Ovis aries: one gene and its partners. The protein of the gene in region 2 purifies or fractionates together with the protein of the main gene of each other region. This does not show direct contact. Links are inferred from orthologs where the notes say so. Each region holds a gene or a part of one and is shown on either strand. Other genes may lie near its edges.

Region 1 (4,154 bases), on a different chromosome or scaffold from region 2:
CTCATCAAATGCGAATAAGGAGATTAAGCATTTTGATAATCTGTTTTGGTATGTGTTTTCCCAATTCCATTTTTTTAATTAAAAATAATCTTTTGGAAAATATTCCTTCAACTTTTTCAATCTGCATAGTATTATTACTAATCACATAAAAACATAAGTTTTTGTTTTTGCACACGACTAATCTCGACTCAAGACCACTTTTAAAAATAAATAGTATGATGAAATATCACCAAAACATTGCTGACAATTTTCGTACTTTATATTTTCACTCTAAAATTCATCTTCAAATCTAGAACTGCTGTCAGTGAAACAAATCAAAGAACAAGCAACTGCTCCAAAAGAAATTAAGGTTTCCTAAACAATGTTTATTTCAAGTATGGAACCCCAACAATCCCTTAGACCAAGTAGACATTCAAGTATGATCACTCGAAAGTGCACTAAAATAAACACTTATCATTTGCAAGGCAAAAGGATGCTTTCTCCAACTGCATGCAAACTACCCAAGAATGAATGACGTTTAAATAGCAGTACTTAATACCCTGAAATGAACTAAGTTAACACCCATCTGATAGCTCTCCCAATATTTAATATTGGGAGTATTTGATAGTGTAACTCAGAAATGAACATTTCAGTAGCAACTACAAGGGTATACTCAGTATATGAGTGCTGCTGTGTTTAGTCACTCAGTCGTGTCCAACTCTTTGCAACCCACCAGGCTCCTCTGCCCATGGGGATTCTCCAAGGCAAGAATACTGGAGTGGGTTGCCATTTCCTCCTCCAAGGAATCTTCCCAACCCAGGGATCGAACCCAGGTCTCCCGAATGGCGGGCAGATTCTTGACCATCTGAGCACCAGGGAAGCCCACATATATGAGTGAGGATTCCATTTATCTTGTTAGACAGCCCTTTAAACCAAAATGAGACTCCATGGCTTTAAAGTAAATATACAAACAGTAAATAAAACATTTTTGGAAAGTCTCCTGAAAACAAATACCAAGAACACTATTTACAATGAAACATTCTTGACTAGTACAGGAATTTATCTACCTGATAATAACCTGATAAGAATAATGCACTTATACAGGAATTAGGATTTCAAGTATTGAAAGATTTGGTCAAGTTCAAGTTATAAATTTAAGTTTCAGCAGTCACTAGGGTACCATCTCAAATAATTTACATCTCTCTTTTGCAGATGTGAAAACCCAGGCTGAGGTGAAACAGAGGTGACTCAGTCACACTCATCTAACTTGAATTATAGGAAATAATCAGTGAATTACAGTGAAATGCTTTTTATTCAAGTATACTATACTGCAAACATACCTCAAGAATAGAATGAAAGTGGTGAAATTATGGGTCTGGAGAGTCTATATTTTTAAAGCAAAGGTTAAAGCATATACAGTATGATAAGCATTATGGGGAACAGTAAAAGTGAATATCTAAAATTCAACTATCCCCAGAAAAATAACATACAAGAAGTCAATCCAAGTATTTTTCCGGAGTTAATCAGCGAAGAACACTACTGTACAAACCACTTGAAAGTTAAAATCACTAAGAAATCTTCACTCCTCTCTTCTGTTAACTAATCCCTACAGTATCTAAAAAAGGTTACTTTCCCTTCTACCAATGTCAGACTAAGATCCTTTTTCAGAGGCAGACTGCCCTGGGCAGGGATACACAGCATTAAGAAAAATATGTTAAGTGTCCAAAAGTACCCAGAAGCTACGTGTTCAGCCCAAGAAGGGATGAGAAAATACAAATGAGAAAATATTTGACAGCCTCTTCCTACCACCTTCCCCCCAAAAACCCTTTACTCAGCTTTATAAACACGTACTGTTGAAGCACACTCTTGAGCGAGTGGTTCGACGAATCTCCTACACCAAACCCTAACTGAGAAACACAACCAACGGTCCCGACTCTGTCAAGCCGCCAAGAAAATCGGGAGAATTATTAATAACTGATGCCTGCAGGATTAGGACTTTGAGAGAAGGGTAACCAATGCATTCACAGGTGAGTTTAAGAAAAAGACGGGGGGAACCCCAGAAAATTGGGAAAGAAGTTGGTTGGAAGGTTAGAGAGAGGCGAGGCCGACGTCCAGTTCAAAGAGAACGGCAATGCGGATGCAGACAACGATTAACTAACCGAGCATTTGGAAATACAGAAGAGAGTTTCACGAAAGACCTGACTAGGATGCAAGATACAAGAACACTGATACGTGGCAAACAGAAGACACGCGGAGGTGGGACCCGCCCCGCTAACCCCAGGCTCTCTCAATGAGTCCTCAAAGGAGGAGTGCAGCCTGAGAAAGTCAATGGGTGCAAGGAGGCCCGTACCGGCCGGGCAACGCCATAACACAGACGCAGCCGCGTGCGGAGCCTCCGGGTCTGAGGCCTCGGGGCTGGCCCTCAAGAAGTATGAACAACCCTTGTGCTCCCGGCCCCTCCTGGCCCAGTCTCTGTCCTCTCTTCTCACCCTCCACGATCTGGGACCGGACCCCTGGGATAGACAGGAAACTTCCGGCCGAGAGCTCCCGGCAGGCAAAGAGTAAAACAAGAAGTATTCTCTTCGCGCCGCGACTGACACTCACCGGCCCGAAACCTCGAATGAAACCAGCAGCTCCGGGGGCGGTGGCAGCAGTGGCAGCAGGAACCGAACATCCAAAATGGCGGCTCCCTCGGCCTCACCACCGCTACTGCAGGCGGAGGGATCTTAGGTGGGAAGGAGTTTTTAACTAACTTTGCACACTATCACAGAAACTTAGGGCCCTATCTCTCTCTGCTTGTCGGTCCCGCGTTCCCAGACTGCAACTTCTCTTGCTTCCCCTCTCCTATTATCCAAGAATTCGGACCCCACCGAGGACTATTTGCCAAGGAGGAGGTGACTGCTCCTGGAAGAGCGACGCAAAGCGTAGCAAGAATCGGGGCTGTCACTGATGACGCGAGACGCCGCTGCCGAGTCACCGCTGCGGAGAGTCTGAGCGAGAAAGATCCGGTGGACCCCAGAGCCCACGAACATTGGTTCCGCCTGCGGTGGGGTGGGAGCTGGGCTGCCAGGAAGTGGCGGGGCCACCTGAAAAGGGTGGGGCTAGCAAGGTAGCGGAGGAAATGGGGAGGAGAAGCAGGTAGAGGCGGAGAATACTGAGCCTGGCCGAGCTGGTCCTGATCCACCAGAACCCCAAATTCTTACCTATCACTTTTCAGACCTTAGCTTTCTGTGTAGGTTAACTTTAGGATCATGCTCCAAGTAGTCTTGGATTCTGAAGTTTTATGTCATCTTTGCAACACATTTTATAAAAATAGAGGATGTCACAGAAGAATGGATTTCAAGCACACTATCACCTGTCAACCTTTGGCATTGAACAAGACATTTAGATTCTCTGGGTCTCAGTTTCCTCATTGTAAAAAGAGAAAATTTGTGTTCAGTTCAGTCGCTCAGTTGTGTCCGACTCCGTGACCCCATGAATTGCAGCACCCCAGGCCTCCCTGTCCATCACCAATTCCTGGAGTTCACTCAGACTCACGTCCGTGGAGTCAGTGATGCCATCCAGCCATCTCATCCTCTGTCGTCCCCTTCTCTTCCTGCTCCCAATCCCTCCCAGCATCAGTCTTTTCCAATGAGTCAACTTTTCGCATGAGGTGGTCAAAGTACCAGAGTTTCAGCTTTAACATCATTCCTTCCAAAGAACACCCAGGGCTGATCTCCCTTAGAATGGACTGGTTGGATCTCCTTGCAGTCCAAGGGACTTCAAGAGTCTTCTCCAACACCACAGTTCAAAAGCATCACTTCTTTGGTGCTCAGCTTTCTTCACAGTCCAACTCTCACATCCATACATGACCACCGGAAAAACCATAGCCTTGACTAGATGGACATTTGTTGGCAAAGTCATGTCTCTGCTTTTTAATATGTTGTCTAGGTTGGTCATAACTTTCCTTCCAAGGAGTAAGTGTCTTTTAATTTCATGGCTGCAATCAACATCTGCAGTGATTTTGGAGCCCCCAAAAATAAAGTCTGACACTGTTTCCGCTGTTTCCCCATCTATTTCCCATGAAGTGATGGGACCGGATGCCACGATCTTCATTTTCTGAATGTTGAGCATTAAGCCAACCTTTTCACTCTCCTCTTTCACTTTCATCAAGAGCTTTTTAGTTCCTTTTCACC
Region 2 (3,646 bases):
CTGAGACTCTAAGACTGGGGAGCAAAGTTAAATCTGAGAACACAGACTCTTGAGCCAGGCAGCCCCAAGTTCAACGTGACCCCTCCCTTCCTAGATGAATGACATCTTAGTTCTTCTGGGCCTCTTTCCCCATCTGTAAAGGGGGCTAAGGACTTCCCTGGTGGTCCAGTGGCTAATACTCTGCACTCCCGATGCACAGGGCCCAAGTTAAATCCCTGGTCAGGGAATTAAAATCACACATGCAGTATGGCGTGTCCTCCACCATCCCCCCAACTTTTTTAATTAAAAAAGAGATTGGGAAAAAAAAACTTTTAAGGGTGGGGAGGGACTAATTATATGTTCTGGAGAAGCTCTTGTTTGGGGGACTGGGGACATGCACAGGGCTATCCATGGCAATGTGAACCAGAGAAGCCAAGAAATGAAAACCATACATGCAAAACACAGGACAGAAGATTCTCCTGGTGGAATAGTCTACAGGCACCGAAACGGATGCCCTGCGCTGCAGGTCCTGGGATTCCTCTTAAAAGTCGACATTACACAAAGAAGGCAAATTATACAAAAAAGTCATACAGCAAGAGTTCACGGATATAAAGGTCAGAGACTGGCAGAATGAAGTATTTGTGCTTACAGATGACGGTGGCAAAATTACAAACAATAGCAAAGAAACGATTTACATGGAATTCCAAATTGTGACCACCTGTGGGCAAGGGTTGGGGGAGCCATGGTCGGGCAAGGGGCAGGTGGGGGTTTAGAGGTGCTGGTTGAACCAGGCACATTCAATTAAGCTGCATGGTATGATATGATGATATGGTATGACAATGATAACATTGATATCTAACACACTCTATGGTTTATATACATATATGAATATAAATGTAAATTCATAAAAAGTAAATTTTGATGTAAATGTAAATTTATAAAGTAGTATGAATGTATATTTTTTAAGTAAATTAAGTAAAACAGATCATGTGTCACACGATGGTGGTTCAGTAATAAGAGAAGAAAACAGAGCAAAGAAGGGAGGTGGAGAAATCAGGGAAGGCTCCTCTTAGGAGGTGACACTGAAGCAAAGAACTGAAGGAGGCGAGGGAAGAGCCAGGGGGATATCTGGGTGGCTGGGGGCAGAGTGCTCCAGGGAGAGGGGATAGTCAGGGACCATGCCTGGCATGTTTGAGAACCAGCCAGGAGACCTGCGTGGCTGGAAGGACGTGATGATTGGGGAGGGAGGTGGGAGATGTGGTTAGACTGCTGAAAGGGTAGGAGGGGTGATCTGAGCACTGTAATTGTTACCCCGGGGGCCCACCTTGACCATGATCTCCACGCGGCTGTGTGAGAATTTCTCAATGACAGATTCAATCCAGATCAGTGGCTTGACCTGCAGACAGAGGAAGAGGGAGTTCTCCAAGGCTCTGGGGTCAACCCTTGCCCCCAGCCAGGGGCTTGACCCTGCCTCACCTGCGTGCTAAGGCGGTAGGACATGAGCTCAAAGTCACCATCAGGCGGGATGAAGGAGATGGTTCGGTCATTGTCAAAGCGAGAGAGCCGCACGCACTGGTGAAATTTCACATCCTCCAGTTCCACAGACTTGTTCTTGCTCCCTGAAACTCAGAGCCGAGTTAGCGGGGTGACACTGGAGCCCAGGGCAGGGTCCTTATCCTTACCTTCCCTGTCTACTGCTACGATCACCCCCATATTACAGATGAAGAAACTGAGGCCTAGAGAGGATGAGTAACTCACCCAGGGTCACCCAGCTGGCCAGGAACAGAGCTGGGATCCCCAGGGAATCAGGCCCTTGCTGTCAGGATGTTATCCTGTGGGTGTTAGTCGCTCAGTTGTGTCTGAATCTTTGTGATCCATGGACTGTAGCCCACTAGGCTCCTCTCTCCATGGAATTCTCCAGGCAAGAATACTAGCGTGGGTAGCCATTCCCTTCTCCAGGGGATCTTCCCAACCCAGGGATCGAACCCAGGTCTCCTGCATTGCAGGCAGAGTCTTTATTGTCTGAGCCACCAGGGAAGAAATGTAATGCTATTCTGTCTCCTACTCCCACTAGAACGTCAGCTCCGTGAGGGCAGAGATTATTTTTTCTTTTCTGCCATGTCCTTGTGCCTGGCACTCAACAATGAAGCAGAGTTGTTTGCATTAAGGCACGAGCAGCTGCAGTACTGGTCAAGACCAGTAGAGGGCAGGCGAGTACTATTTCAGAATTGACTGCAGGTCTCCGGATACCACCCACCCCAGATGAGGCGAGGTCTCAGGCTCCCCCGCGCGCCCCCTTCCAGAAACTTACGGCCAGTGAGCTCGAAGAGTACACGGTCGTTGAGGCCCAGCCGCAGCTCTGGCATTCCCGACAGAAACACCTTGAGCTTGATAGTGCCCACAATCTCGCTCAGCAGGACACTGCCGTTGGCATTGACCTGAGGATGCAAACGTTGGTGATGTGGGAGGCGGTTAACAAGCATAGGGCTCCCTCTCCTGGCCCTTGGCTGTAGCGAGGGTGGGGCAGAGGTGTGGAGGCTCACCAGCAGGTTAACGGACTCTATGACATCGATGAAGACCTCATTCTTCTTGTACTTAATGCCCTCCGAGCGCCAGGACACAGCATTGGTGACAGTGGGTGGCACTCGTGACTTGCCCGTCTCCAGCTTGTTGCCCTGCTGCGTGATGTACCTGGCGGGGGGGCCGGGAGATGAGCACATAAACCCAAGGATACTTCCCTGACCCTCCCCAGGTTTCTTCCACCCATGGCCCACACTGTGGCTGACCCCCGGCCCACTCACTCCTGCAGGATCTTGCTGTCTGTGGTCTGTGGGAAGCCAAAGTCCATGAGCTCATCCAGCAGTTCGTAGACGATGACAAAGTTGTCTCGGATACTCTCCTCCTCCAGCTCCTTGAAGTATTCAGAGAATACCTAGGGGTGCGAGGAGACCAACACCCACAGAGATGCGGCTGGTGCAACTCTTGGGCTGGGTTCCCACTCATCCAGCCAGCCACCCAATAGGCAACTATTGAGTACCTACTGTGTACCAGTGTCAGGATATTAACGGTGAACAAAGCCAACAAGGTCTCTGCCCTCCTGGAACAGTCTTGAGGGGGAATGGACAGGTAGGTAGTGGAACTAATATTATCCAACGTGTAGAGTGCAATAATGAGGAAAACAAGTGAAGTAGGAACCCAGAGGCAGGGAGGTCCAAGAAGACTTCCTGGAAGAGGGATTAGAAGGGCTCAGAATTTTGTGTGTGTGTGTGAATCATGGGATTGCCGTGTATCTGGTGATGTTAATGGACCCACCTCAGAATAAGGTTTGTAAATGCATGAAATAAAAGATATACACACAGACAAAAAACAAAAGACACAATATGGGAATTCTCTGGCACTCCAGTGGGTAGGACTCCACGCTTCCACTGCTGAAGGCCCAGGTTCAATCCCTGGTTGGGGAACTAAGATCCCACAAGCCAAGCCATGCAGCATGGTCAAAACAAAAACAAACCAAAATAACCCCACAAGATGGCAAAGGAAAACTGTTACACTACACAGAAATACATCTAAGTTCTTGGATTCCTTGAATTCCATCCAGGGGCCCTTGGGACTTGGGGGACCCCCCCCAGACGGGAGCCCCTGGGAATTAGCAAGTATCTCCTTAGCA
Region 3 (4,197 bases), on a different chromosome or scaffold from region 2:
TGTATTTATTTAGTCGTACTGGGTCTCAGCTGCAGCACATGGGATCCTTTGTTGCGACCCACGGACTCTCTAGTTGTGGAGTGTGGGCCTGGTTGCTCTGCGGCATGTGGGATCTTAGTTCCCTGACCAGGGATCGAACCCAAGTCCCCTGCATTGCAAGGCAAATTCGTGACCACTAGGCAACCAGGGAAGTCCCTTCAAGTAGAATTATTTTTAAAAGATTCCCCACTTGTCTAATTAATATTTTCTCTCTGGAGCTGTTCATTCCTCTCTGTGTGGAGAGAAAAAGAACACAAAAATCATTCCTGGGCTGTGAAAATTTATCAGTGATCTATCTTAGGCAAAAAGACCTATTCAGAAAAAGAAATACCTGCAAGTAACAGAAGCCCCTTTGATTTCTGGAAACACATTGGAGCTCAAAACTCATAACCAAGCCATGCTGGCTCACCATTAGCACATCACACTTTGGTGCCAAGAATGGGGGTTTTCGGGAAGTAAGCAAGCAAGTCATGCAACAGCTTCAAGGATAACTAGAGAAAGATGAAAGTCCAAGCCCAGAGCTAGCAGGATCAACAGATTGAACTTGTTCTGAAACACTTTAAGGAAGTGAAACAAGAAGGATGGGAGAGGTCCTGTGTACACAAAGGACTCTGCAGAGAGAAGTAACACCCCCAAAACCAGCCCCCAGGAAACATCAACTGCCTAGGGTCAAGGCACTCACCACAACAGACTCTGCACAAAGTCCTTGTCCAGCTTCCACACGAGTCACTGCTGAGGGGGAGGTGAAGGTGGTGGTATTATTGTAGAGCTGAGGGATAGGTGGCTCTGGGTCACGCTACCAAGAAGCTGCTGATCTGGGGGGAGAATCCACGGCTGACAGATGGGGGGACAAGGAAGGCTCTTTCCACCACACCACTGAGCTCTCCAAGTCACTCAGGTGAAGCCTCTACTCAAACTACACTCAACAGTTAAACTTTATACAAAGTCTGAGGGACCTGAGTCTTTGAACACTAGTGAAGCCACTCTTCATGAAGCTGCCCTGAGGGGTTGAAGGAGCCTGGTGGGCTCAACTCAGGACAGGGAGCCAGACACTCTGAGCGCTGCTCCTGTTCCTACCATCTGTGACGAGTCACTTTATCTCAAATCCTCCCTTGGAAGGATGGGGATCAGGTGACAATATTAAGTTTCTGTGAATTCAATGGAACTAGGAAAACAGACAGTGGAGTTTAAAAACAGGTACTGCACAGTAATATTTATACCTCAGCTTTCTTTATAAGTGCGTGGAAATCCTCACAGGTTCACTAAGGCTTGTAAAACCCCGGAGTGTGTAGGAAGTCAGCAGGTCTGTGCTGCTATCAGGGAAACTGAAGCCGAACTGCAGCACGTGAATGTCTGCAACCGAGTAAAGCTCAGACTCACAAGACCTAATCCTCTGGCCATGAAACCACCTCACTGTCTCCCAGGCAAGATGTGTGTTCTCCAGTCAAGAAGGCATGGGACCTGCACTTTTCTCAGAGACTCAGGTCCTTGCCTTGGGAATGCTCTTCAAGAACCTAGGGCCAAAAGATACCCTAGGGGTCATGTGGTTCCTCCCCTTACTTGAAAAAGAATGCAGCTTGACCACTCTCAAGAGAGGTGCAGCATATTCTTAAATTCATTGCATGGCTAGACTGTTTTATGTCTCGCAGTTCTCAACAGTTGGGAAAAAGGCCCCTTCTCACCCTGAACAGAAATCAGTTATAGCAATGGCCTAATTTCATCCTAAAGAAAGGGAATCAAATGCTCCTTAGGAAGGTAGATGAGAAGAAAGCAAGCTACATCTCTAAATGCTATTGTTCAGTCGCTCAGTCATGTCCAACTCTGCGACCCCATGGACTGCAGCCCACCAGGCTCCGCTGTCCATGGGATTCTCCAGGCAAGAATACTGGAGTGGGTTGCCATTTCCTTCTCCAGGGAAATATATCTTTATATAGATGCAAATAAATTTAATGGCGGCTAAAGATATTAAACAGCCCCTAAATGCCAACCTTGCTTCAGTCTCAGCACGCTGCAGGTCCCTGCGAGCCCAGGTAGGAACCCTGGCATTCATCCATACTACTCGATTGACCTTACAGGTGTGATTTAACTTTTCTGTGCCTCAGTTTCTTCGTGGATAAAATGGGGATAATAATAGTAGCTACCTCACCAAGATTGCTGGGAAGTTTAAATGCGGCATTCTAAGCACGGTGCCTGCACACAGCTCAATAACCAGCAGCTAGCATTCCCATCAGTAGTTCTGGCGTTATTACAGGGGTCCCCAGTTACCTCGTCTGTGAGGCGCCTAGGGACAGACCAATCCTCTGTTTAACCCCACCCTAGAGGCGGTGGCGCCAGGCCGTTTCATATTTTTTTTTCTGTTTTTGAACCTTGGCAAAGAGATAAGGCCCTTAACGACAAGGAGGCCTCAGGACAGCCACGGCGCTGAGTGTGCAGGGGGAACCAAGACCCGAAGAGAAGTTTCCTGTCAGGCCAGGCACAAGCTCCCCTGGGCCTAAGTCTAGGAGTCTCTACGGGAGGGCGCCCCGGCAGGGACTGCGGACCTGGGACGGCTGGGGTGCACGCCGGCGGCCAAGGGGGCGCGAATGAATGAACCCGCAGCCCTTCTGCCTCCTCCCGTCCTGGGAAGCCACTCTAGACCCTCCAGCGCCCTGTACTCTCCGTGACCTTTGACCCCAGAAATCCCTCACCTCAGACTCCCGACTCCCCGCCCCACTTCTTCTCTGGCCTCGCCAGGCTCCCCGCTTCCTCACCCGCAGGTCCGAAAGGCTCCTGACGCCACGGCGCGGCTCGACGCGACAGGAAAATGTCCGCGGCCTTGTCCTCCCGCTCTCCCGGTGCGCCCGCGCCGCCGGACGCTCGGAGCCCCGCGGCTGTCACCTGCCAGGCGGAAGTGAGCTGCCCGCGCGCGGGCACTTCCGGTGGACGCACAGGCTGGGGGCGGGGTCAAGGGTACAACCCGGGCGGGGGCGGTGGCAGCGAGGCGGGGCCAGGGGGCGGGGCGTCGGAGTTAACTCCGCCCTCGACACGTTGCTGCTCCGCCAAGCAAAAAATACCACAAGATGGTTGGATAGCATCACCGACTCAATGGACATGAGTTTGAGTAAACTCCGGGAGTTGGTGATGGACAGGGAGGCCTGGCGTGCTGCAGTCCATGGGGTCGCAAAGAGTCGAACACGACTGAGCGACTGAACTGAGCTGAACTGAGCCTATATAACATGACGGAGATGGAGAAGATCATAGAGACTTTGAGGTCTATTTTTCTTTGTTTTGAGGTCAGCTTCGCTTCTGTGTTACAAACAGGAAAACTCAGTCTCTGAGAGGCGCCAGTGTTGCTCAAGATCACTTACCTGTGAAGAGAAGAGTTAAACTAGAGCTGTAAGTCTAACCTACCGCTTGAAGCAGCCCTTCGGGGAATTCCGCGTAAACCTCACACCTCCAAGGAGAACTTAAAAGTTCCATTTCCCGTTTTGCTGGGTCGGCCAGGCCAGGGTTGCTATAGGTATCTCACTCCCAGCTCTGGTATTATTAACTTTCTCCTCCTCCTAGATAATTTCTGATCATCTTCTTAAAAACATCTAAAATAATATTTGCATTATGGAAATATACGAGTAAGCAAAAGGCTATGTAAAAAATCCTGCAATCCTGCCACCCTGAGACAATAATTTTTAAGATTTTGGTGAATATCCTTCCAGACTCGATATATCCATTCAGTATTTTTAATTCACCAAGATATTGGTGAATTGGTGAATTATTGTTTCCCAAAACAATAAATACATTTCTACTTGGTGTTTTACAATATCTGCATGGAATTGCGCAGTATGAACGGCACCACTGTTCTCCGAAACAGTCCCCTACAGTTGTGCACTTTATCACTAGTCTTTTAATATTATAAAATGTATAATATTATATTATACATTTTATATATTTATGTATATATAAATATATTTACTTATATATTATATATAATTATAATACATAATACATTTATTTATTCTACATTATGTACAATATATATTATGTATTATAAATTATACTATATTATATATAATATATAAATAATATATTAGAAATATAATATATAATATATAAATATATAATATGTGTTATATATAAACACTGAACTGATGCATATATATGTCTGTATGTATTTTATATATA

The links.
Region 1: the proteins of AP1M2 (region 2) and AP1G1 purify together in Homo sapiens (affinity purification with mass spectrometry; 4 studies listed by BioGRID and IntAct, counting the BioPlex papers as one, with this or other methods). This does not show direct contact. The link is inferred for Ovis aries from reciprocal best matches to the Homo sapiens genes AP1M2 and AP1G1.
Region 3: the proteins of AP1M2 (region 2) and AP1B1 purify together in Homo sapiens (affinity purification with mass spectrometry; 3 studies listed by BioGRID and IntAct, counting the BioPlex papers as one, with this or other methods). This does not show direct contact. The link is inferred for Ovis aries from reciprocal best matches to the Homo sapiens genes AP1M2 and AP1B1.

Annotation. Positions count from the first base shown.
Region 1 is NC_056067.1:38,790,462-38,794,615, reverse strand, and holds the start of AP1G1 (AP-1 complex subunit gamma-1), read right to left. Parts: upstream 2,904-4,154; 5' UTR 2,469-2,903; exon of another isoform or gene 1-2,468. UniProt on the Homo sapiens protein: Subunit of clathrin-associated adaptor protein complex 1 that plays a role in protein sorting in the late-Golgi/trans-Golgi network (TGN) and/or endosomes.
Region 2 is NC_056058.1:12,931,488-12,935,133, forward strand, and holds part of AP1M2 (AP-1 complex subunit mu-2), read right to left. Parts: intron 2,912-3,646; coding exon 2,781-2,911; intron 2,671-2,780; coding exon 2,523-2,670; intron 2,418-2,522; coding exon 2,291-2,417; intron 1,605-2,290; coding exon of another isoform or gene 1,599-1,604; coding exon 1,456-1,598; intron 1,376-1,455; coding exon 1,304-1,375; intron 1-1,303. UniProt on the Homo sapiens protein: Subunit of clathrin-associated adaptor protein complex 1 that plays a role in protein sorting in the trans-Golgi network (TGN) and endosomes.
Region 3 is NC_056070.1:68,659,755-68,663,951, forward strand, and holds the start of AP1B1 (AP-1 complex subunit beta-1), read right to left. Parts: upstream 2,937-4,197; 5' UTR 2,790-2,936; exon of another isoform or gene 2,727-2,789; intron 772-2,726; 5' UTR 722-771; intron 1-721. UniProt on the Homo sapiens protein: Subunit of clathrin-associated adaptor protein complex 1 that plays a role in protein sorting in the late-Golgi/trans-Golgi network (TGN) and/or endosomes.